Xenopus tropicalis: one gene and its partner. The protein of the gene in region 1 interacts with the protein of each later gene in a biochemical or structural test. Links are inferred from orthologs where the notes say so. Each region holds a gene or a part of one and is shown on either strand. Other genes may lie near its edges.

Evidence for each region.
Region 2: of the proteins of tlk1 (region 1) and asf1a, one has a biochemical effect on the other in vitro, tested with the Homo sapiens proteins (3 studies listed by BioGRID). The link is inferred for Xenopus tropicalis from reciprocal best matches to the Homo sapiens genes TLK1 and ASF1A.

Annotation. Positions count from the first base shown.
Region 1 is NC_030685.2:67,971,988-67,984,067, forward strand, and holds the end of tlk1 (serine/threonine-protein kinase tousled-like 1), read left to right. Parts: intron 1-282; coding exon 283-349; intron 350-2,919; coding exon 2,920-3,017; intron 3,018-3,200; coding exon 3,201-3,282; intron 3,283-4,132; coding exon 4,133-4,224; intron 4,225-4,301; coding exon 4,302-4,391; intron 4,392-5,099; coding exon 5,100-5,269; intron 5,270-5,813; coding exon 5,814-5,949; intron 5,950-8,626; coding exon 8,627-8,738; intron 8,739-8,825; coding exon 8,826-8,933; intron 8,934-9,321; coding exon 9,322-9,498; 3' UTR 9,499-11,299; downstream 11,300-12,080. UniProt on the Homo sapiens protein: Rapidly and transiently inhibited by phosphorylation following the generation of DNA double-stranded breaks during S-phase. This is cell cycle checkpoint and ATM-pathway dependent and appears to regulate processes involved in chromatin assembly.
Region 2 is NC_030681.2:73,622,389-73,634,568, forward strand, and holds asf1a (histone chaperone ASF1A), read left to right. Parts: upstream 1-5,521; 5' UTR 5,522-5,849; coding exon 5,850-5,958; intron 5,959-7,346; coding exon 7,347-7,462; intron 7,463-9,622; coding exon 9,623-9,799; intron 9,800-10,324; coding exon 10,325-10,537; 3' UTR 10,538-10,960; downstream 10,961-12,180. UniProt on the Homo sapiens protein: Histone chaperone that facilitates histone deposition and histone exchange and removal during nucleosome assembly and disassembly.

The DNA of each region.
Region 1 (12,080 bases):
TAACTGCAGAAACATTTTGTTCCTAATATTTAAGGCCTCTGTTTCCAACATTTCTTCAACTGGAGAGATGACTGTTTCCAGTGAGGTCATTTTTATGCCTCTTAAAGTACTTTATGTTCCAAATCTACTTTAAAATGATTAAATGTCATCTTTAAGCTATGCTTGGAATGTACGTTTCTTATTTCACATTCTTCAGAAGAAAATCAAAATGACTCCATTTTTCCTCATAAATATTTATGAAATCGTATTGTTTTCTAACAGATGCATTTATTGCTTTCTCAGATTAACTTTAGCCGAATACCATGAACAGGAAGAAATTTTTAAGCTTCGACTAGGTCATTTAAAAAAGGTACGTGATTCTAACATTTCATTTGTAACACTGTTTGCTTTTCATATTTGTAAACTGACAGTTTGAGATAAAGGGGATAGGAATTGGGATATGGGAGATGTAATGATATTACAAGGAGAGCCTCTTATACTGGGAGCAGGTGGATTATAAGCATTGTGGAACTCCAGAGAGGGGAACAAATAATGGACAGAAGTCAGTCTATAAACACAAGGATTTAGGAGGAATTTTAATAATAAACTGCTTTTTCTATGTACTGTGTTGGTAAACATGCAACAGATGTAGCTGATTTTGCCTAATTTTTTGTCCAAATTGACATCTTTCTGCCAGTACAACTGCTTCAGAAAGAGAATACGGCAACTTCACAGCTCTTAATGTTACAAACCCTTTTCACACTAGGGACAGGGAAACCCAAATTTAGGGGGTTTCAATCAATTCAATCAGTTAGTGATTGAATTCTGTATTTTTTTGCAGTTGTCTCGGACTTGCACCTTAGCAAACGAGTAAAAGCCAAAAGTTTAACTGTCCTTAGGGATGACTGGAAAAAGTATGTATGGTCCAAGCGCTAGAAAGTTCCCTAGGCCAGTTTTAACACCCCCAGTGTAATTGGGTGTTTGTGTTCTTTTTCAATCTCAGAAGATTCCATCACCTCTGCTGGAAGGATCTACTGGTGAATACATCATCAGAGAGTTTATTGTATGGTCCTCTTACACATGGTTATCATAGTGCCCCCTATGCATCTCCTTTAGTGTAAATATTGCCTACTTGGGCAATCTTCATAGCTGAGACTTTGCATGCCATTCATCAGCACCAAAACGGCCCTGCATATTCCAGATAGGGCTTGACTAGTGCTTTATAAAGAGAAAGAAACTCTCAACCCACTGATCTATATCCCTTTTAATACAGAAAAGTTGTATAAATTGTCCTTGGTAAAATTGAACTAAGCTCTAAGTGCCCATGGGTATATTCCAGCTGGGCCCAGGGATCTTGGTAAAAAACTTTACTATATTTATATTAATTAAGCTGCTGTGTAGCCTTGGGGGTAGCCATTTAAATTGAAATAGGGATAAATGGCAAAGGTTATATAGCTGATAACAGATAAGCTCTGTAAAGTACCATTGTATTCTACAGTGCTTATGAGATATCTGCTATGTAACCTGTGCCTTTTCTCCTTCTTTTCAGCTTGAATGGCTGCCCCCATGGCTACACAGCAGCATATTTATATAAACTATAGTTGGGTTTCTGAAGCAAATACAGACTTTTAACCAGTGCAGGGTAACAGTACATTATATTTTAATAATTTTTTTGGTTTTACTGTTCTTTTAAGCATTTGCTTTTTTTAGACTCCACTCTAACCAGTATATTTTAATTTTTTTCTGAATGAGCCACATGCTGAACCTGCATTTTTTTCACTGATCATTTAGTGCAATATGGGATGTCTAATGTGGAGACCCAAAGTAGTATATTCACTTATATTTTGGGGGGGGAGTAGCATTTGCAGGTAAAGCAATCCTCATTTTTTCCTTCTTGATTACTGCTTTACAGCACTTGTTTTAGTATTTATATGCTGTAAAGCATTGTCTGTTACCTCTGACTTTTTTCTAAATGCTTCATTCATGTATACTTCCTTATATCTGAGCTATATTGCATAGAGTGATCCTTAATGCTGTTATATTTCTTTCCAATGGGAATACATTGTGAGCACTAGTGGTTTCATAACATTTTAAGCAACAGGAATCATTTGCATTTAATTAGTAATGTAGGGTGCTAAAGCTCCTGAAATTTGCTAAGTCTTTGTTAAGCCAGCAAACATAAAATGTTGTTATATTATGGAAACTGTACCCAGTTATTCTAGTACTGTACTTGGACATTTGAAATTCATTCTTGTCTGTTGGGTCTAGTTGTACAGTTAACTTGCCTGTTGCCTAAGAATCTGTAAAACATTCATCCCCTAAGACTTCTGTCGTTTTCTTTCACAATTTCTTCCTTTTTACTGGGTTTCAAAACATATACACATACAAGGTATAGTCTGTGCTTACTAGCCAGTTGTGTTGAGTTATTCAGTCATGTTTCAGCAAAGCCATCGACCTCATTTCTTGCCCAGTTCCATTAACTCAAGCTCATTTTACTGGTTCAGCTTTATTCTTTGAAAACATATATTTACTTTTTATTGGAATTCATTTTATGTGAAGGGAACAACCCAAGAGCAGGAAATACAGACAAACCAAGCTTTGTCCCTGGGAGCATGCTGGAGTCATTTAGCCAGGGGGAGAATCTTTGTGGACCTAAAGTATTTTATTCCCGGTGGATTTAACCAAACTTAGTATCTAGGCTCCTCAACCTCTGGCTTTGTCCTCTCCACGCACAGAAGGCAGTATTATGTTCTACTAACGTCCTACTGCAAGCAAACATGCTCTCTGGCTTTAAAGTGCTCACATTTATTTTTTTGTCTAAAATATTTAATTTGTGTGAGTGTTGTTCAGTTCTTTGACCATTTACAGTCTTCAGTTTGTTGTGTACAGCAATCCCCCATCTTGTCCTTGCCTAAAACAACACAATGTGTTCATTTGCAGGAAGAAGCCGAAATTCAGGCAGAGTTGGAAAGGTTAGAGAGGGTTAGAAATCTTCATATACGGGAGCTTAAAAGAATAAACAATGAAGATAATTCACAGTAAGTACTCTTGGTGTAACTTACACAAATAATATGTCTATATGTGTTGGAACGGAGGGTATGGAAGAAGACATAGCTGGTTACTTGCATGGGGCTGCTGAACAAGAAAAGTGATCTTTTATTGGCAAAGTAATGGCAGAAGTTGCTGTATCTAAACCATGAATGTTTATCATTTTCCTTTAGATTTAAAGACCACCCTACACTGAACGAACGGTATTTATTACTACATCTATTAGGTCGAGGCGGCTTTAGTGAAGTGTACAAGGTAAGATTGTTTTTTTTTTTTTTTTTTGTAAAGACTACTGAATAGTCAAAGCCTTTAATCCATATAAAGAATATATGTGAATGCTTGGGGACCTTGAATTTTCTGGATAAGGGATCTGTAATTTTTATCTTATCTTAAAGGAGAAGGAAAGTAATTTTGGGATTTTACTGCCAATAGATTTGCCACATTAGTGCCACTTAGAACAACATATTTATTCTGCAGAAAGCATTGCCATACCTGAGTAAAGAGCCCTAGAAGCTTTCTTCATTTGCTTAAGACAGCAGCTGCCATTTTAAATAGCTTCCTGTTTGCAGTCTAGCCGTTATAGCTCAGATCACTCATTGCTAAGGGAGGGGGGGAGGGAGTTCTTAGAATTCTTATGGGAGGGGGGAGCAGAAGAGAGGAGAGAACTGCGCAGACTCTGGACACAGGAATTAAGGATTTTTCTGAGAGAGGAAGTCAGACACCCGTACATCATGTTTAGAAAAATAACATAGTGCTTATGGCTGTATTTACATAGACCTTAGTTTTAACTTAAAATAATTTTCTTTACCTTGTACTTGATCCCAACTAAGATATACAATTATATGTTTAAATTATTTTTAAGTTATTTGATTAAAATGGAGCATATGGTAAATGGCTTTCCAGAGTTTTTTGCACAACAGGTTTCCAGATATATATATTTATGTAGCCATATTGCATGTGGATTTGTTGTTCAGTACCTATCACAGGGGGATTGGCCAGGTTGTGCAGGGATGCTGAGACCAGGAGACAAGGGGCATAGGATGCTGTAAGAATCTCCACATACACTTGTCAAGGAAGTCACATAATGGTTTGATATCTCTTTCAGGCTTTTGATCTTTATGAACAAAGATATGCTGCTGTAAAAATCCACCAGCTTAACAAGAGCTGGAGGGACGAGAAGAAAGAAAACTACCACAAGTAAATATTTTGTGTCCTTTTGATAGTGAGCCCTTCGCTTGCCATAGTGACTGTACTGATGGTGCTGTTTATTGTAGGCATGCCTGCAGAGAGTACAGAATACACAAAGAACTGGATCACCCCCGAATAGTTAAACTTTACGATTATTTTTCCTTGGATACAGACACGTAAGTATCGCTCACTCTCTTAGTTGCTTATCAAAGTCCTGTATGTAGCCTGTCTGTATATTCTACCAACCTATGTTCAGATATGAAGATAAGTTAGGACAACTGTCATGGGAAAACATGTTTTTTTCAAAACATATCAGTTAATAAAGCTTTTCTAGCAGAATCCTGCATTGAAATCTGCAAGCATAATATAATATTTAATTTTGAAATTTCACATGGGGCTAGCCATATTCTTCATTTCCCAGGTGCCACAGCCATGTGAACAATGGGAAGGGAGCAAGATAGCAGCTCCCAGTAGGTATCAGAATAGCACTCAATAGTAAGAAATCCAAGTCCGGCTTGGGACTCCTCCAGTTACATGGGAGTAGGAGAAACAGTAGGTTACCTGAAAGCAGTTCTAATGTGTAGCGCTGGCTCCTTCTGAAAGCTCAGACTCAGGCACAATGCACTGAGATGGCGCCTACGCACCAATATTACAGCTAAAAAAAATGCATTTCTTGTTTAAGAGAATTTTTTTTTAATTATTTGCTGTGTAAACAGTGTAATTTAGAAATAAAAAGTATACCATAAACATCATGACAGAATCCCTTTAAACCCCTAGTTTCCAAACTGTAGAACTGCCCCCCTTAGAGGGGGCTCAAGGCAGTGCATAAGGGGCACAGACCTGTTAGGGTGTGACACTTGTGTTTTTTTTTTAATCTTGTGCAGGTTTTGTACAGTGCTAGAATACTGTGAAGGCAATGACCTCGACTTCTACCTAAAGCAGCACAAGTTGATGTCGGAAAAGGAAGCCAGGTCTATTGTAATGCAAATAGTCAATGCACTACGTTATCTCAATGAGATCAAGCCTCCCATTATCCACTACGACCTAAAGCCAGGTAGGTAGAACACTCAATTTTGCCTGAAACTCATAAACTGCAATTTAGTCTTTGTTTTTTTCTGTGCTTTTACACAGCCTTTAACCACACACAGATGCACTGCTATCCTAGGTTGCTACACATGTCTCTATGTGCGGTTAAAGGCTGTATTTAAGAATGGTTGAATACTGAATTAGAGATTAAAGCTGGCCATACACGCAACGATTATATTGTACGAAACCACGTTTTGTACGATATTCGGTGCGTGTATGGCGACTGCGAAGCGACCGATATCGCAAAAGGCTGCGGATATCAGTCAACTCGCCGATTGGGCGGGTTAAAAGATTTTGATCTTGCGCCATTGAAGGCACCTGAGCAAAATCTACCTTCAGGGCTAAAGAATCCTATTGTTTCTACCTCTATATCTGACGATTCAGCCCTGAATGTCTGGAGGGTGGGAACAATCTTTTGTGCAACCACAGCCACCTTTAGAGACCTTTTATAGACAACAGCCATGACTACAGCTTCAGTGGTTAGAAACTTATGTAATGTCTGCTGTAATTAGGAAATATCCTTCTTGTGGACGGGACAGCTTGTGGAGAAATAAAAATCACCGACTTCGGTTTGTCCAAGATAATGGATGACGACAGCTATGGTGTGGATGGAATGGACTTGACTTCTCAAGGAGCAGGGACATACTGGTGAGCATCACATGATTTCCTGTCATGTTTCACAGACATTTTTCCTAATCTTGTTTGACTGCTGTCAGGTTCATATTAAAAGGAAACCTATACCCACCCTTATACCACAATTTGCTCTTCTTAGCACTTCTGCATTTTTTTTTTTTTTTGTAATATATTTCATGATATCAGCAGGTCACTACTAATATCATGATTGTGTAACAGGAGCGCCCTCTGGTGTGTTCTGCGTGGGCCAAAAGAAACTTCAGCTTTTTGAAAAGAAAACATAATTTCAAGCAACTTTGCAATGTACAAATAATTAAATAATACGCAGCCTTTTCATGATTTAATAATATGGTTCGGAACAGTTACCTAAGCCTGGCCCTGTATAAATAACTTAAACTTTTGCCATCTGACAAGCTCTTGCATGAACAGCAGAGGGCAGTTTGGTTACACATTCATGATATTGGCAAAATGCTTAAATCTAGAGAGCACTCTGAGCAATTTTATATTGTTATATCTTTTCTCTTGGCCTGTAATATAAGATGATGCTACAGGGCTGATTATTAAATTCTTATGCAAATTGCACTGGTTTCTGAACTGCAATGTAGTAATTATCTGTACTGATTACTAACCAGCCTTATATTGTGACATTTATGTTCTGTATATACAGTATATTGTGAGTGGGTCCCTAAGCTCAGGAAAGTGACAGCAGCACAGAGTATGTGCAATTAATCAGCAGAAAAAAAGAGGGGGAGCTACTGGGGCATATTTAGAGGCACAGATCTTCCCTGATAAAAGGCTGTGGTTGCCTTGGGCTGGTACAGAAGCACAAAACATAATGTGCAGCCTTATTTTTTAGGTAGGCTTTAGTTCTCCTTTAAGAGATCCCTAACATAATGGCCCAGGCTTAAGGCAACAAAAAGCCCTTCATGGAAAAAGCACTTCATGGCCTAATGAACGTATTCCAGTTGATTGCTGCCATGTCATGAGACGGTTGCAGAAGGGTTGAAGTGTTGTACTAATAAAACAACTATGTATAGCTCATTAGATAAATTGGTTTATTTGGATTTAGGGTTAACTGGGATTTTTTTCCTAGTAACCATTGTGATGCAGACATAAGCATTTAGAATGAAAGCTCTACAGGTCAGAGCAGTGATCCCCAACCAGTGGCTCATGAGCAACATGTTGCTCACCAACCCCTTGGATGTTGCTTCCAGTGGCCTCAAAACAGGTGCTTATTTTTGAGGCAAGTTTTGTAAGCATAAGACCATGTATACTGCCAAAAAGAGCCTCCTTTAGGCTGCCAGTCCACATTGAGCTACCAAATAGCCAATCATAGCCCTTGTCTATGAAGATTCTCATTCATCCAGGTCATGATATACAGTATCTAGCAGAATTGAATCTAAAACAAGGCTCTAACCCAGGGGGTCCCCAACCTTTTCTACCTGTGAGCAACATTTAAATATAAAAAAACTTGGGAGCAATACAAGCATGAAAATGTTCCTGGGGAGCCAAATAAGGGCTATGATTTACAGTATCTAGTAGAATTTAGTCTAAAACAACTGGACTTTTCTGAGTTTTTCTTGAAAAAGCTTCTCCACTCACCCGAGTGGCTTCTTCAGTTCAAATGACTGGTAGGAAATTCCCCGGCATTTAAACCCTTGAGGGTAGTACAGTCACAGACATCCAGTCACAATAGTTCCATTAAACTTATTCAGTTAGGTGTTGGCTGAAACCCAGCAACACTCTGAGACAAAACATGATGCACCATAAAGACCCTACACCAAAGCACATAAAGCGTAATGTGGTCTATGCTGTCCAGTGTAGTGAAGAGTGCTCAGACTTATACATTGGGGAGACAAAACAACCACTCTGTAAGAGAATGGCCCAACATAGGACGGCTAACGCCTCAGGACAAGACTCAGCAGTCTATTTACACCTCAAACAACAAGGTCACTATTTTGAGGACAGTAACGTGCATATTTTGGACCGAGAGGACAGATGGTTTGAAAGAGGTGTGAAAGAGGCCATTTATGCCAGCCTGTAAAAACCATCCCTGAACAGAGATGGGGGGGCCTGCGACACCGCTTGTCATCAACATACAATGCCGCTTTCACATCCTTACCCCGGCGGTTTCACAACAGTTCACACTTCCAGTCATGTACTTTGAAGGATTAACACCTGCATCACTGAATCATGGTACCATTGTGACTGGATCATACCTTCTTATACCTGTCCGTTTCAGCCAACACCTAACTGAACAAGTTTAATGGAACCACTGTGATTGGATGTCTGTGACTGTACTACCCTCAAGGGTTTAAATGCCAGGGAATTCCCTACCAGTCATTTGAACTGAAGAAGCCACTCAGATGAGCAGGGAAACGTTTTCAAGAAAAACTCAGAAAAGTCCAGTTGTTTTAGACTAAATTCTACTAGATACTGTAAATCATAGCCCTTAATTGGCTCCCCAGGAACATTTTCATGTTTGTATTGCTCCCAAGTTTTTTTTATATTTAAATGTTGCTCACAGGTAGAAAAGGTTGGGGGCCCCTGGGTTAGAGCCTGTCCAGTAATCTATTCTCTATTGACACTTTTTCCCTTACCCAAATGTCACATTTTGGCAAGAGAAATTGCTTAAAGAAAGCCACATGCATAGTCAAAGCAGATTATTGATGTTGCGCTGTGCACTTTGCAGGTATTTACCACCAGAGTGTTTTGTCGTGGGCAAGGAGCCCCCGAAAATCTCCAACAAAGTTGACGTGTGGTCTGTAGGAGTCATTTTTTTCCAGTGTCTCTATGGCAGAAAGGTAAGCTAATAAATATTTTGTTTAGAATGACACTAATATTGACACTTTATTCTCCATGGCTAATAATGAACCCCTTTTGCTTTTCAGCCATTTGGCCACAATCAGTCTCAACAGGATATCTTACAGGAAAATACAATATTAAAAGCCACAGAAGTACAGTTTCCAGTGAAGCCTGTTGTAAGCAATGAAGCCAAGGTAATATATAACAAATTATATATGAATATATGAATGCACAGGCGATTTCAGCAAATCGCCGAAGTTGCCTCGCGAGGAATTTTCGGCAATTTGCCGAAATCGCCCCACCGCGTGTGCCATCCCACCAGCGACTTACATTTTCGCCGGAGGGATGGCAATTCGGGAAGATTAGTCGCCCGCGAACAGAGAGATTTGTCGCGGGCGACTAATCTCCCCATCTGCCAGAGCCCTTAAAGGAACAGTAACACCACAAATGATATGGTTTTGTATGCATTTATATAGGATACACTGATAAAAATGTTAATGTCACTTTATCTTCTAGATGACTGAAGTTGAGTTGATTGAATTTATGGTAATTGCTATTCGTTAATCTGTTTCCTTCTTTCAGGCCTTTATTAGACGATGCTTAGCCTACCGCAAGGAGGACAGGTTTGATGTCCACCAACTGGCCAATGACGCGTATCTTCTCCCGCATATGAGAAGATCCAACTCTTCAGGAAACCTCCATATGTCTGGGCTAGTGGCCTCTCCAACCACTCCCACATCAAGCATCATTTCATACTGATACTCGCACCAAGGCTGCTGGCATGATTATTCGTTACATAGCTTTCCGGCGCAGCATTTTTATTTTATTTAATTTTTTTTGTTCAACAACAAAGGAGAACCAAGAAGGAGTTTAAAGATAATTGTGTGTTTTTGGGGAGATTTTTTTTTTTCTTTTTCTCTGTAGTGTTATTAGTATGGCAAGAGCGAATGAGACTGTGAATAAATTTCCCATTTGACAGTAATGTGATTTGGCACTGGCCTCCATTCATTGCCCTACAAAGCCATTTTCAGAGTAATGAGGGACAATGCTTAGGGCGTGTTCCTACGCAAGTTTGGGGCCACTGTCAAGAGATCCAAGTTTGTCCCACCAACCACGTGCATTCAATATGGACAAAATGAAATATAATGAGAAAAAAAAAAAAAAGCTTTTTTTTCCAGAGAGGACATTGTAAATAAACTTTGTAATACTGCAACACGATTGGTTGATACTGGAGAGTTTTAGCATGAAGGGCATTTTTCATTATTTAAAAAAAAAAAAAAAAAAAAAAGGAAAAAAAAAACAACACTTCTGATCATGGGCACCTGGCACCCGAGTGATTACAAACAACGCACTTGCCCGCAAACTCCAACACCCATTTATTTAAACCAAAGCTGAATATAAGAGGAATTCACACGTTATGTTTGGAGTTTATATTCCATAAGAATCGTTCACGTGTCACTGTGACTTTTTTTTAATTTGAAATCGGCGACCCCTCTCCCCCTTTTCCCACAAGTTCCTTTTATGGATCATTCCACTCAATACCTGTGATTCATTCGTTTTTCTTTTCTCTTTGTTCCATCGCCATAAAACACACAAGAGGTACCAAAACCTTCAATAAAACGTTCTATGCAGGATAATGATAAATTCCCTTCTGGCACTCATGTATATTGTTGTACAGATGTCCATTTCAGTTATCCGTGTCCTTTCAGCAGCCGTTTGCCCTTGTACAAATGTTTAAAGTATGGCTTTTTTTCTAATTTGAATATTGATTTTTTTTTTTTTTTTTTTTTAAGTCTCCTCGACTGCGCTTTTATTTTGCTGCTAATTAATGTTGCTTTGAGTTTGTTTTTTTTTTTTTGTTTTTTTTTTTGCAAACCAATAGAATTGCCCCTATTTTAAAGTGGCAATTGAAAAAAAAAAAACAACCAGATTAATTCATTAACAATCAAGCATGTGTACACATCTGTAAAACATATACACAGTACTGTAAGCCTGGTTTGCTAAATGCTCTGTTACTCGGGGCAGGTTACTGAGGTTTTTGTTCTCCCTCGTCTTGAGAGATCCTCTATGTCGGAGGCTGTAAGTATGCAATACATTAAGCAAAACCGATTCCTCTTGGCTTAACACGGTGTTAAAAGACAGACAGGTTCCTTTCTAATGGCCTAAACGCCTTTCTAGAACGCTGTATTTCTTTATTGCACAAATAAAAGGAGACAACCCCCCCTCGATGCCAGAGTAGGCAACGGTAGTGCATTGGTCTTGCAATATATTGCTCTTTTCTGTAGCATTCAAGGGGATGAGTCCTTAAACTCATGCTGTTAAAGAGAAATAAAAAGATTTGTCATTTTGTTCATGTTACAGAAGAGGAAGCTTGTATTAACACAGGTTTTACCATTTAATATTGTACAGTTCATTGTGGCTCTTGTTTCTGATGTTGCAAGCAGTTTTCATTTTTTTTCATTGTACATAAATATACATTAACTGTCTCTTTAAGATGCTGCTGAAAATTGTAGAGAATGTAGCCAAAACAGTAATAAACAATGAAAGTTGAAATTTCAAATAAGTACTTCATTTCCACCTAGCTTTTGGATAGTAGTCTGCGGGTACTTACTCTAAAGCAGTGATCCCCAACAGGTGGCGCGGGGGCAACATGTTGCTCACCAACCCCTTGGATGTTGCTCTCAGTGCCCCCAAACCAGGGAGTTATTTTTGAATTCCTGACTTGGGGGCAAGTTTTGGTTGAATAAAAACAAGATTTCATACCAAATAAAGCCTCCTGTAACCTGATAGTGTGCATAGGGGCTGCCTAATAGCCAATCACAGCCCTTATTTGGCTCCTCCATGAACTTTTATGATGCTTGTGTTGCTCTCCAAGTCTTTTACTTTTGACTGTGGCTCACATAGTTACATAGGGTTGAAAAAAGACCAGAGTCCATCAAGTTCAACCCTTCCAAGTAAACCCAGCACACACAACCCACACCTACCAATCTATACACTCACATACATAAACTATATATACAACCACTAATGCTAACTGTAGATATTAGTTTCACAATAGCCTTGGATATTCTGATTGTTCAAGAACTCATCCAGGCCCCTCTTATAGGCATTAACAGAATCTGCCATTACCACATCACTAGGAAGGGCATTCCCCAACCTCACTGCCCTCACCGTGAAAAACCACCTACGCTGCTTCAAATGGAAGCTCTGTTCATCTAATCTAAAGGGGTGACCTCTGGTGCGTTGATTGCTTTTATGGGAAAAAAAGAACATCCCCCAACTGCCTATAATCCCCTCTAATGTACTTGTACAGAGTAATCATGTCCCCTCTCAAGCGCCTC
Region 2 (12,180 bases), on another chromosome or scaffold:
TAAGGACCACCCTTTTGTTGCTCAATTTAGAAGTAAAAAACAGGAAGGCATTTAAAAACTACAAGTCAGAGGGGACAGATGCTGTGTTCAATAAATATAAACACTATAACAAATGTTGTAAAGTAGCAATCAGGAGGGCAAATACAGAAAATATGGAATGGATTGCGGCAGAGGCTATGTAATTAATAGTAAAAAGATACAATTTGACAGTGTGGCTCCATTAAATAATGTGGCTATAACTGATACAAAAAAGGCAAAATGTGCTTAATCAGTTTTTTTCTTCAGTGTATACATTAGAGGAAAGTTTTTCCAGACCCAACTGTTGGGGACACTGATGTCTCAGCTCAGTCTAATCAGTGGTTGACACAGGACATAGTACATAAAGGTTTATCCAAAATTAATATAAAACCCTGGGTACTTAGAGAGCTAAGTTAAGTCTTAGCCCGGCCTTTATTTCTGATTTTCTCCAACTCGCTTTCATCTGGTATGGTACTTGAATGGAGAAAAGCGGACATAATTCCTATTTTAAAAAACGGATTACAATCTTAGCCTCACAATTATAGGCCAGTAAGTTTAACTTCTGTGGTGAGCACGTTTGTTAAAGGAGACATATTGGATAAATGGAAAAAACCCTAATTTTGTAGGCAATTATGAATAATATATGGTGCTGGTTTCACTTTGGGCTAAACATTAATCCTATCTGTAAAAATGGCCCCTTTATTGGAGCTCCCTATAGATCCTATCAGTTCTCTGTCCGTGTTTCAAATGAAGGGTGGGCGTATCCCAACGGTCCCTGCCAAACACAGCAGGAGGGGTAGAGCCAATCACAGCCCTGCACTCACACAAGCACAGACAGGCTTCAGTTATCAGGTCAACCTAGCTGCTGATTGGTTCCTATCCTACAGTGCATCCCGCCGGCTCCCCTGAACAGATGGGCAGGACTAGTGGGGTTTTGGTGGAATTTCTCAATAAATAAGTCTGAAACTTTTTTAAGCACAATCCTTCTATATCTAGACGAGTATAATTTTTATATCATATGTCTCCTTTAAAGAGGCTTTTAAGAAATTTGACTTTATTGCCATTAAACTGACTGGATTTAATTTTTTTGTCCATTATGGTAATATTTGTATAGTATGGTGAAGGTTTCTGTTTTCTTTATATTTACTGATATGCCCATAAAGCTCCATGTAAACTTGATTACATGTAAGTAAACCATGGTTGAGCATCAACTCATTTAATTTTATTTCAAACCCTTCAGCATTCCCCCATAAACTGTTGCACTTTTAAATTAAAATGTATTGCGTTGGTTGCACCGATGTCTCTGTGATCATTTCTAAGCAGGCGGAGGTTGAGGTGGTCACTAATTGCATCGGAAGTTACTTGGGGGCCTCTGGCTCCTCTGTCAATCATGAAAAGTCGGAAGCTTTTTGTGTTCTAGAATGGGAACCAGCTTTTCAGGTTGGTAATTTCCCAGTAGCCCCAGAGCAGGTAAAAATCTTGGAAGTTAAATTTGGAAGAAATGATAATGGTCTCTTAAATTTGGAGGAGAAACTGGATGCTGGTTTGGCAAAAGTTCAGCGTTGGAAATCTTGGAAGCTGACAAATAGAGAAATGGTTAATCTGATCAAGACCTTTCTGATCCTGTTGTTTCTTTTTGTTGCCTATGTGTTTTCCTTGCCAGAATCTCTCTATACTTGGATCTACAGTCTGTTCTTTCAGATGCTCTGGGGGAGCAGACTGAACCCAGTAAAAAGAGGGGTCACGTTCCTGCAGAGGGAGGGTTGGGATGGTCTGTCCAATTGCATTCTTTGGCACCATTTTCATGAAATTTAATTTTGGGAATCTGAGCCAAAGGAAGTGTTTTCTGTGGGAGAACTGTGTCAGGTCCTGAGTTTCACTTCTTATCAGACTGGACGAAGGCCGGTAGAGTGAAGGGGGTCCGGATTGAGGGGGGGGTTATTTTCTGCAGCATATAGCTTTGGGTCTGAAGCTCATAAAGAAATGGCACCTTAGTTTGGGAGATTTAGAGAACCTCACAAGGAGGCAGCTGTATGAGATGGTGCTAAGGATTTTTTCACTTCACCTTTAGCTCTGCGGGACTGTACTAGTGAGGAAATAACCTGCTGTCTGAAGTTTCTGAATGGCCATAGGCCCCCTGGGAAATATGCAGATAATGCTTGGTTAGCCTTCCAAGGGAAACTCTTTGTCCGGGGGAACCTTAGTTACCTAAGTGTGGTAAATAGGTTCTGCCCATGGGATTGTGGGAAGGAAGAGACCACTGACCACTTTCTTTTAGACTGCCCAGTATCAGAAGCCCTTTATAGTCAGGTTTTGACTGTCCTGGGAATAGAAAGATTCTGCAGTGACACCTATGGGGAAAGGGCTTATGGGCTGCTCAGGAGGAATCACCCGCTGGAAAGAGAAACGGTTTTTACTATTTTTACGGTAATAAGGTTTTTTCTGTGGTTGATGCGATGTGATAAATCATTTGGAAGGGAGGAGGGAACCTTTGAACAAACTGTTGGGAAAATCTTCAGAGAATTATTTTTCAGAAAAGTTAAAGAAGTTTCTTTAAATAAAGACAATGTATAATTCACTGGTACATTCATAATTTTTATAGGATATTTATTTCTACTTTAAGGGGCCACATTCAAAATTATGTTCTAGAGCAGGAATCCCCAGCCTTCTTTACTCGTGAGCCACAATCAGATTAAAAAGTGTTGGCGAGCCACATAAGCATGGAAAAAGTTCTTTGGCAATGCCAAATGAGGACTGTGATTGCCTATTTGGGCAGGAGGCTCTGCTTGGAGTAAACTGTGTCTCTCTGCTTCCAAAACTTATCTCCAAGCCAGAAATTTAAAAATGGGCACCTACTGTACATTGAGGCAACTGGGAGCAACATCAAAGGGGGTCGTAAGCAACATGTTGCTCCTGAGCCCCTGGTAGGGGATCACTATTCTAGAGAATGCCATTATAAGCTGTAATGAAATCAGCATGGCTTTATGAAAGATAGGTCATTGTAGTACTGCATTTTGGATATTCAGTAATGAACCCACATGTACACAAAGGGTTAACAGATATCTTTCCTTTCCTTCACATGACATCTGCTGAGGTGTAATTCTGGACAATAGAGATCCTGCCATAAAACTACACAACAACCCTTACAGCAATAGTACAGTTCATATCAAAGAGATGCAAATGACTTTACACACTGGTGTGGTGGGTGCAGGGCCAGAGTTCCTAAGGAAAGGAGACCCCACTGAATCAACAGGAATGCCTGCAGCATTGGGCTCAATGGGATTTGCTCTACAGTGCAACCTATCTTAAGCTACCTCTCTTAGCTGACTGAGATGAATCATTGTAAAAACAACTCACATCAACCTGATTGGCTGGGACTATCATTTGGGTGTGTCTTGGGAAAAGGGTAGTATGGGTTATGCTTGGTTGAATGGTCTTCATCATGTATATAAACAGCATTTGTAAATACTTTGTTAGTTAGTCACTTTCCTCTCCCCTCCATTGCACCTTTCCTCTCCCTTCTTCCTTCCTCCATTTTAGTTATTTTCCCTCCTTATTTTATACCTTTTATTTCTTTTGTAAATAAATATATCACTTATTTAATAAACCGGGCTGTCTCAGTTCAATAGTTAAATACCCCAGAATAGAGCAGGTCCAACAGTCATGTTAGATAAATTTGATTTGTTCATTAATGACTTAAGGGAGGGCATGATAAAGAATGTATCAGTGTTTGCAAATGGCACAAGCCAATTCAGCCCAATTAATTTCATCCAGGATGTGGCATCCTGTAATGTAAGATATATGTAAGGTTGTACACCTGGGATGTAAAAATAGGCAAGCTACTTATACCATTAAGGGCTCTGGCACACAAGGGAGTTTAGTCGCCCACGACAAATCCCTCCCCGATATGACATAGAGAAGGACCTTGGAGTCTTTGTAGATAATAAATTTAGCTGTGGCAAGCAATGCCAGGCAGCAGCTGCAAGGAAAACAAGGTGTTAAATTGTATTAAATGGGCATAGATTTGCTAGAGGCAGGGCTCATTCTCCCACTTTACAAAGCGCTGGTAAGGCCCCATCTAGAATATGCCATGCAGTTTTGGTCTTCAGTGAATTATTTAACAGTAGGTCCTTCCAGCAGACACAAAAGCATCCATTTCAATTAAAAGAAGGGACATTATATCTAAATATTCAGAAAGGGTTTTTTCAGCGAGAGATGTGAAGTTGTGAAATTCTCCCTATGAATCAGTCCTTCTGGCAGATACATTAGATAGACATGGTCATTGAAAATAGTTTTAGATGATCCAGGAGGCAAATTAGAGAGGCTTTAGAAGGGTTTTTTTTTTTTTTTGCTTTCCTCTGGATCAACTAGCAATTAGGCAGGTTATATATAGACACAAAAGGTTGAACTTGAAAGAGAAAGAAAAGCAATTTTTAGCATTTTACTGCCAATAGATTTGCCACATTAGTACCACCTAGAACGCTATATTTATTCAGCAGAAAGCTTTACCATACCTGAGTAAAGAGCCCTAGAAGCTCCCTCCGATAGCAGCTGCCATTTTAGCTTGGTCTTGGTAGCTTCCTGCTGCAGTTATAGCCATTGGTAGCGCGAATCACACATTCCTAAGGGTGGGAGTTCTTATGGGAGGGGGAAGCAGAAGGGAGGGGGAGAGGGAGAGTAAAAGAACTGAGCAGACTCATGCCCCAAACCTGAAGGAGCCCTAAAAGAGAGGAAGTCTGATACTGAAGAACATTTTCACAAAAAACAAGCAATCACAAGAAATCCTGTGTTTCTTTTGAAGGACTCAGTGCAGTGTTTCTGTGAGTGCTTATGGCTTACTTAGTTTTTACTTTCCCTTCTCCTTTAATGGATGTGTCTTTTTTCAACCTAATTTACTATGGTTGAACCCTAATTTTATGTTTTCCCAGAATTGGCAGGTTTTTTTGTCCTCCCATACAGGCAAGGTACATTTTATTTTTTATGTTTTCCCAGAAATAGGGGTTCTACCATATAGTCCTATAAGTAACTGCTACATTACTGTCAATTTTTTTTAAATATAAATAAAAGTAAATAAAGAGCAAAAAAAAAACCCCAAAAAAACAAAAATTCTGATTAACAGCTTTTCCCCAGAGGACATTTTGCCAGGGGGGATTCAGAGCCCCAGGTGCAACAGCCTTTAATTGGTTGCATGCATATCCTTATGAGATAAACTCAGCTGATCCCTGAATATCTTAATTTGTACACCAGGGAGATAGAGAAAAACATTTTTTAAAGAAGCGAAGTTTTTGTTGAAAGCCTCAAAGTGCCAAAAGAGGCAAAGCTCACTACTTTTGAACTGTTCAGACGCTAGGAAACACAGATGCAGCAAGACTATTGAGCCTGTCAGTGCGGAGAGATCCTCCCTGAGGTGTGCTCGAGCTGTCAGCCAGCAGGTGGAGCAGCTGCTAAACATTTCCAGCTCCCATGGTCATGAGAAGTCTGTCTTTTTCTGTCGTGTAGCTTTTAGCATTATGGGAAGGGCCAGGGAGCAGCCAATCCGGACACACGCTGTTATAGCAACAGAACAGAATGTGGTGTAGTGAAGTAAGATAGGAGAGCAGGGGAGGGGGGAGAAATAATAAATAAAATAGAGTGGAGTTGCTCACATTGAAAGTAATCAATGGATGAAATAAAAAGAAAACAAACAAACAAATAAGCTGATTTGGAAGAAAGTTTCTCAGGACTGGTGTAAAGAACTGCAAGAAGCAGTGACAGGGGCTCTGCACAGATAAGCACTGCTGGGTCTTGCCTGCACTCTCACACCATCCCCATTGTTTGAGCATTTCCAAAATATGGCAAAGGTTCAGGTGAACAATGTGGTGGTGCTGGATAACCCTTCTCCTTTCTACAATCCTTTCCAGTTCGAAATCACCTTTGAGTGCATAGAGGACCTTTCTGAAGGTGAGTTACAATCAGTTCTTTCTTTTGGCAGTCTGCTAAAGAAGCATCCTAGTGCACAAGAGGTTAAACTGATTCCCACAGGCCTGATGCTTGGCTAAGAAGCAGAGCAGGCGCTGACAGGAATAAAATGCCGGCACATTAACGTAGACAAGCAGGGAAAAAACTTGCGGTTGCACTAGCTGGGAGTGTATGGGAATGCTGCTGCACACACTGGGAAAGTAAGTTTGAAAGGTGCCCTGGTGGCAGGAGCAGCAGCCATGTTTTGTTTGTGGATAGAGAGGGAGGGGGTCGGGTTAATGAGTGTGAAACAGACACAGACAATGCAGGACACGCAATGTGACCTCTGCACTGGGGCTCTTGCAGTGCAAAGACAGCAGATTTTAAATAGCGGTTACTTGTATAATGCTGACCTGCTGCCTGGAGTGAAAAGCAAAAGCTTGTTTTCTATTTTTTTTTTCCTGCAGTTTTTATTATATAAATACATGGGAAAATACAAAAATAAGGATGTTTATTGCATTGTTATGGGGAGAAAAGATGTTTATTCTTCCTTGCATTCATCTTTTTTTATGTCACAGGTGGAATTATAGCCCCTCCCTCATCTCACTGTGTAATGGGCACAAACTCAATAGTAACACAGGGGCATTTAGATGTACATATTCATGGAACTGGGCGCTTGTGTGCGTTAATAATCACTGTCCCAACATAGTAAATAAAAACACACACTGACAATCTGCCTATGAATCTCTTTAAAAATGGTTAACTTGATGGGCAGTTGTCCTTTTTTAACCCAAATTAATGGTAAAATTATGAATATAATAATTTTTCGAATAACAACAAGAAAATGTGTCACCTTAGAAAGATGTCCAGTTCTCCATGATCAAATCTGTCATCCATTTTTCCACTTTCAGAAGAACAATATATTGATACAGCTAGCTGCTGCAATTTTTAAAAATCTGACTAAATTCATTTTCATTAATGTCTGACATTTACTAAAAATGTGAACTGAAAAAGTCAAAAGTTGCCTCACAAGAAAAATTCAGACTCAGAAGACAGAAACAATACATATGCCATCCCACGGTGATAAAAAAAAAAAAAAAAAAACCCCACTATGTTTAGGATGTCATCTAATGAACTTTTTTTTTAGGCTGATGCCACACAGGGCCTGTCGTAAAACAGAGTCCCTATGCTGGCATCAGCCTTCTTCCTTGCCTCTCATTTCAGCAACCCATATCTGCTACAAGTGCCTGCACCTGAACTGACGCAATAGTTTTCCTCAGGCTGAGAATCAGCCCTGTGTGGCATCAGGCTAAGAGACTACTTTTATATTTATAGATAGCTGAAGAGCTAATTTCCCATTCCTTTTCAATTAACATTATACTTTCCACCAGATTTAGAATGGAAAATTATTTACGTGGGCTCTGCTGAAAGTGAAGAATATGACCAGGTTTTAGACTCTGTATTGGTGGGACCTGTACCTGCAGGCCGACATATGTTTGTATTTCAGGTAAGTTGATATTGATTTTATATAAAATATTCTTCTTAGTGAAGAACCATTAAGGGTGGTGGCACACAGGGTGATTAGTCCCCCATGGTTACATTTCAGCTATCGCAGGCAACTAATCTCCCTGAAAAGCCTTTCCTCTGGCAATAAAGTGAATCGCCGGTGGAATGGCATATACTTTACATTCATTTTTACAAAGTTTCCTCCTCCAGAAAACAATTCATACAAATTCTTACAAACTCTGCAATAGTTTGAAAAACAACTGCCAGGTGATGTAATGTTTATTTTGGCCATAAACACACTAATGATATTGTACGAAACCTCGTTTTGAACGATATTCGGTGCGTGTATGGCGGATCGACGAGACAACCGATATAGCAAAGGCTGTGGATATTGGCTGTCTCATCGATCACCCAGGTTAAAAGATTTTGATCGGGTGCCACTGAAGGCGCCCAAACAAAATCTGCGTTCAGGGCTGAATCGGCAGGTGGAGGTAGAATTCCTATTGTTTCTACCTCCACATTCAGCCCTGAACGTTGTGGGGGAAACAAACGATCCTGTGACCATCAGAATTGCTACGTGTATGGCCACAAACAGGGGGACTCACAGAGAGGGGTTCACTCTCAGAGCAGAGAAAGCTGTAACCAAGTGCCAGGAGTCACTGAGAAAGGTCTTTCAGAGTAGGACACAGAGCAAGAATGCTGCCTGCCTGTGTTAGGAACTCCCAGGGGGCTGGGGGTGCTGCCTGCCACTGCAAGGAGCCATGTGTATGAGTGCCAGAACGACAAGGCTTAGTGAGAAGCCAAAGTGTGAGATGGCCGGGATGGTGAGAAGCCCCAGGAAAAGGTTCCAGAGTATGAGAGTTACCCTGGAAGGTGAGAATTCCAAATAGGGTACTAATCATGAACATATATGATGAACAGTTTGCTGATGTTTATGTTGGGTAGAGTTTGCCCCAAAATAAACTTGTGTTTTTTGCCTGAAGAACTGATGTCTCTGTCTCTATGCTCCTGCCTACCATGACTAATTTCCCCCAAGAATTACGTGTACAGACAGACAGTGTGTCAATATATAACATGTCAAGGACTGCTCCCCACTGAAGTTTGACAGCCACATAGCTAGTACACTTTAAGGGCTTTGGCACACAGGGAGATTAGTCGCCCGCGACAAGGGAGATTTGTTGCGGGCGACTAATCTCCCGATGTACCAAAGCCCTTAAAAGTGTACTTGCTATGTGGCTGTCAAACTTCAAACTTTTTCCTGTCAAATCTCCAGGAAATGCCATCCCACCGGTGAGAATGTAAATTGCCGGTGGGATGGCATATGCAGTGCTGCGATTTCCATTCTCGCCGGTGGGATGGCATTTCGGGGAGATTTGTCGTGGGCGACTAATCTCCCCATGTGCCACAGCCCTTAGTCCCAAGTGTCTAGAAAGAAATGGCATCTTGCAGATTAGTAATGGATAGATATGCACTCTGTAATAAAATTGCAGTGAAATATCTGCTACTTGTGGTACAGGAATTAGTCTGCACAGTGGATGTACTATGTAGTGGCAGCTGTACTACACATTCTGACCAACTAGGCAGAGATGTACAGATTCTTCAGTAACTGGGAAAAAACTAAATATCAAGCCCCACTAATTAATCATATCTGCTTCCTAGAGAATCAATTTTTCTGAAGCTTAAAGGAGAAGGAAAGGCTAAGTCACTTGGGGGATGCCAAAATGTTAGGCACCCCCAAGTGACTTTAATCGCTTACCTTGTACCCCGGGGCTGGTGCCCCTGTTAGAAGAAAACCGCACCAGCCCTGGGTAGCTGTAGCGGAGCGCTTCCTTCTTCCGTGTTTGCTCTGCCGGCAAAATACCTGAGTGAAAAGGTGACTTCTTGTTAAAGTTCAGCTTTTCACCCTACTGCGCATGCACGAGCGCGAACAAGGAAGAGGAAGCGCTTGCTGCAGGCACCCGGGTTGGTGCTGTTCTCTCCAAACAGGGGCACCAGCTCGGGGTACAAGGTAAGCGATTAAAGTCACTTGGGGGTGCCTAACATTTTGGCACCCTCAAGTGACTTTGCCTTTCCTTCTCCTTTAAGGAAGAATCAGTGTGGAGCCGAACAGTAGATTCTGACAGAGAACATTTGTAACTGCTTTGTCTCCATCTTTGTTTAGGCTGATGCCCCCAACTCAGGCCTTATACCAGACGCAGATGCCATTGGTGTAACAGTGGTGCTTATCACATGCACATACAGAGATCAAGAGTTTATCAGAGTGGGCTATTATGTTAATAATGAATATACAGAAACAGAACTGCGTGAAAACCCTCCTGTGAAACCAGACTTTTCCAAGGTAAAGAATTTACAAACTCTGCAATAAATAGTTTGAAAAACAACTGCCAGGTGATGTAATGTTTATTTTGCATTGTTGGGACTTCACATTGCGGATCATGATCAAATGGCACAGATGCAGAAGTGTCACCTAACTGCAGTAATATGGTGCACAACACAAACCCACTACAGTGGCTTCTAATGCCTTCCCATCAGAAATAAAGTGAATCACCGGTGGAAAGGCTTCCGCACCTCTAACATTTCCAAAGTCGCATGTTGTTTCCTACTGCAAACAGAGTCGAGGTCGGCCTGAAAAAGCAAAAGCAGGCATCTTCAAGCCAACCTCTACTGCGTGTGCCTGCATGGTACATACAATTTTACTTTTATGTCCAGGTCAATGGAGCTGGTTAAGGGAGCCGTTCCGCTTCTCTCAGCCTGAAAAAAAAAAAATGCAGGCTGAGGGCAGTGGAACCAACAGTCCATGTACCCTCAACCTAAAAGGCTTTCAATTATCATTTAAATCATTTACATTTTCTCTCTGCTGCAGCTTCAGAGGAACATCTTGGCATCAAATCCTAGAGTAACCAGGTTCCACATAAACTGGGAAGAAAATACAGAGAAGCTTGATGAACTTGAAGATAGTAATCCTCATCTGCATCCAATACTGTCAATAGAAGCCAGACCTTCAGCTTCAAAAGGATGGCCTATGTCAGAGAACTCTTTAAATGTCATGCTAGAATCGCACATGGACTGCATGTGACTTTACTTTTACATCTTTCTACTTTCAAGCCAATGGGAAAATTGCACTTTGCAACACTATTTTCCAATAAATAGGACACCAGGAAACATGTCCTTGGCAGAAACCTTTATCAAAGGGTGGAAACAAAATGTGAACTAGGGGGAAAAGTTTTTAAAAAATCTATTTTTAATTATTTTTGTTTCTGCTTAAGGCAGGTATCTATCAGCTATTTTCCAAACTAGTTAGAACATGCAACTGCAGCACATTTTGCTATTTATTTGGAGATGTATTGTTTTCTGATATTTTGCTGAAATAAATCTATGCTTGATACCACAGACCTGACATATGCACACTGTGGGCCATCCACAGTACATCCTATTTGATTACATAAAATCTATTTCAGATGGATTCTATTCTTACAACAAATAATGCCTTTATAGTTTACTTTCTTGTTAAAAGGTAATTATTTACCAGTTTTGGTTTTATAAACAATACATGTTTTGCATGGTTTTTCTTTTCAAGCGAAAACCAGAGGGTGTTATATCTTTAAAATTTTACAATTGCTAATGCCAAGCAAGCAGTTGGCTATTTAGCCATTCGATATAAAATAGTTTCTTCTACAGTCGGGAAAAAAATATGCAGTCCCTTTGTAAACAACTCTAATCCAGTATTAAAGGACAATGAAAGGTTAATATAAATTAAAAGTAAATCTAAACGCATTCTTTTTAAGTACTTACTGCATATCTAAATTCCCAGATCCCTGCTTGCCTCTCTGAGATATGGTGCTGGCAGCCTACAGCAGTTAGAAGACTACAGTGACATCACTGAAATCTCTTTCCCCTTCCTGTAGGTGCCAGCGGCAGCCTTCCTATTCTCTGAGCATGTGTGTAACTTGATCCTGTCTCCTGGTCTGAGATACACATGCCCACCAGCCAATCAGAAGCGGATCTGGCAGAGGGGAGGGGGGGGAGGGAATGAAACATGTGCAGTATGAAGCAAGGAGGGAAAGGAAGGGAGAATACCTTTTAGAGATGGCTGCCTCTTCTAGAAAATGTGAAGTAAGTGTGACTGAGTAAATATTTGATTAGGTGCGTCAAAAGTGTGGCGTTTTTACTAAACAATAGGAGGACTATTGGGCAGTATGCTTTTTAAGTTTTGACTTTCATTCTCCTTTAAGTACAACTGATATTAACCTTATTTAATAGCCCTACTTACAGTGTCTTGCACAAAATTGTCAACGTCGAAGTGCAAAAAAATTTTTTGTAAAAAGTTGACGTAGTTTTCAAAACGTACAAATAAAAAATTAAAAAAAGTCTTGAAGTATTCATCCCCTCTACAAATAAGTTTTGGTGCAACCAACATGCCTTCAGAAGTCGCATAATTAGTTGAATGGAGTCCACCTATAAATTATCACATAAGCTTCTGATAAATTCTGTACACCCCTTTATAGAAGGCTCCAGAGGTTCTAATCATATCTGAATTTACAGCATGATGAAGACCAAGGAGCTCTTCAAAACAAGTCCAGTGTAAAGTTCTGAAGAAGCACCAATCAGCTAGAAATCTTGAACAAAGGAAAAATGTCTGAACCAAGACTGACTAGAGAAGAATGTCCACCAAATCTCAGCAACCAGGGCATAGGGAAGCGAGAGACCAATGGTAACTGA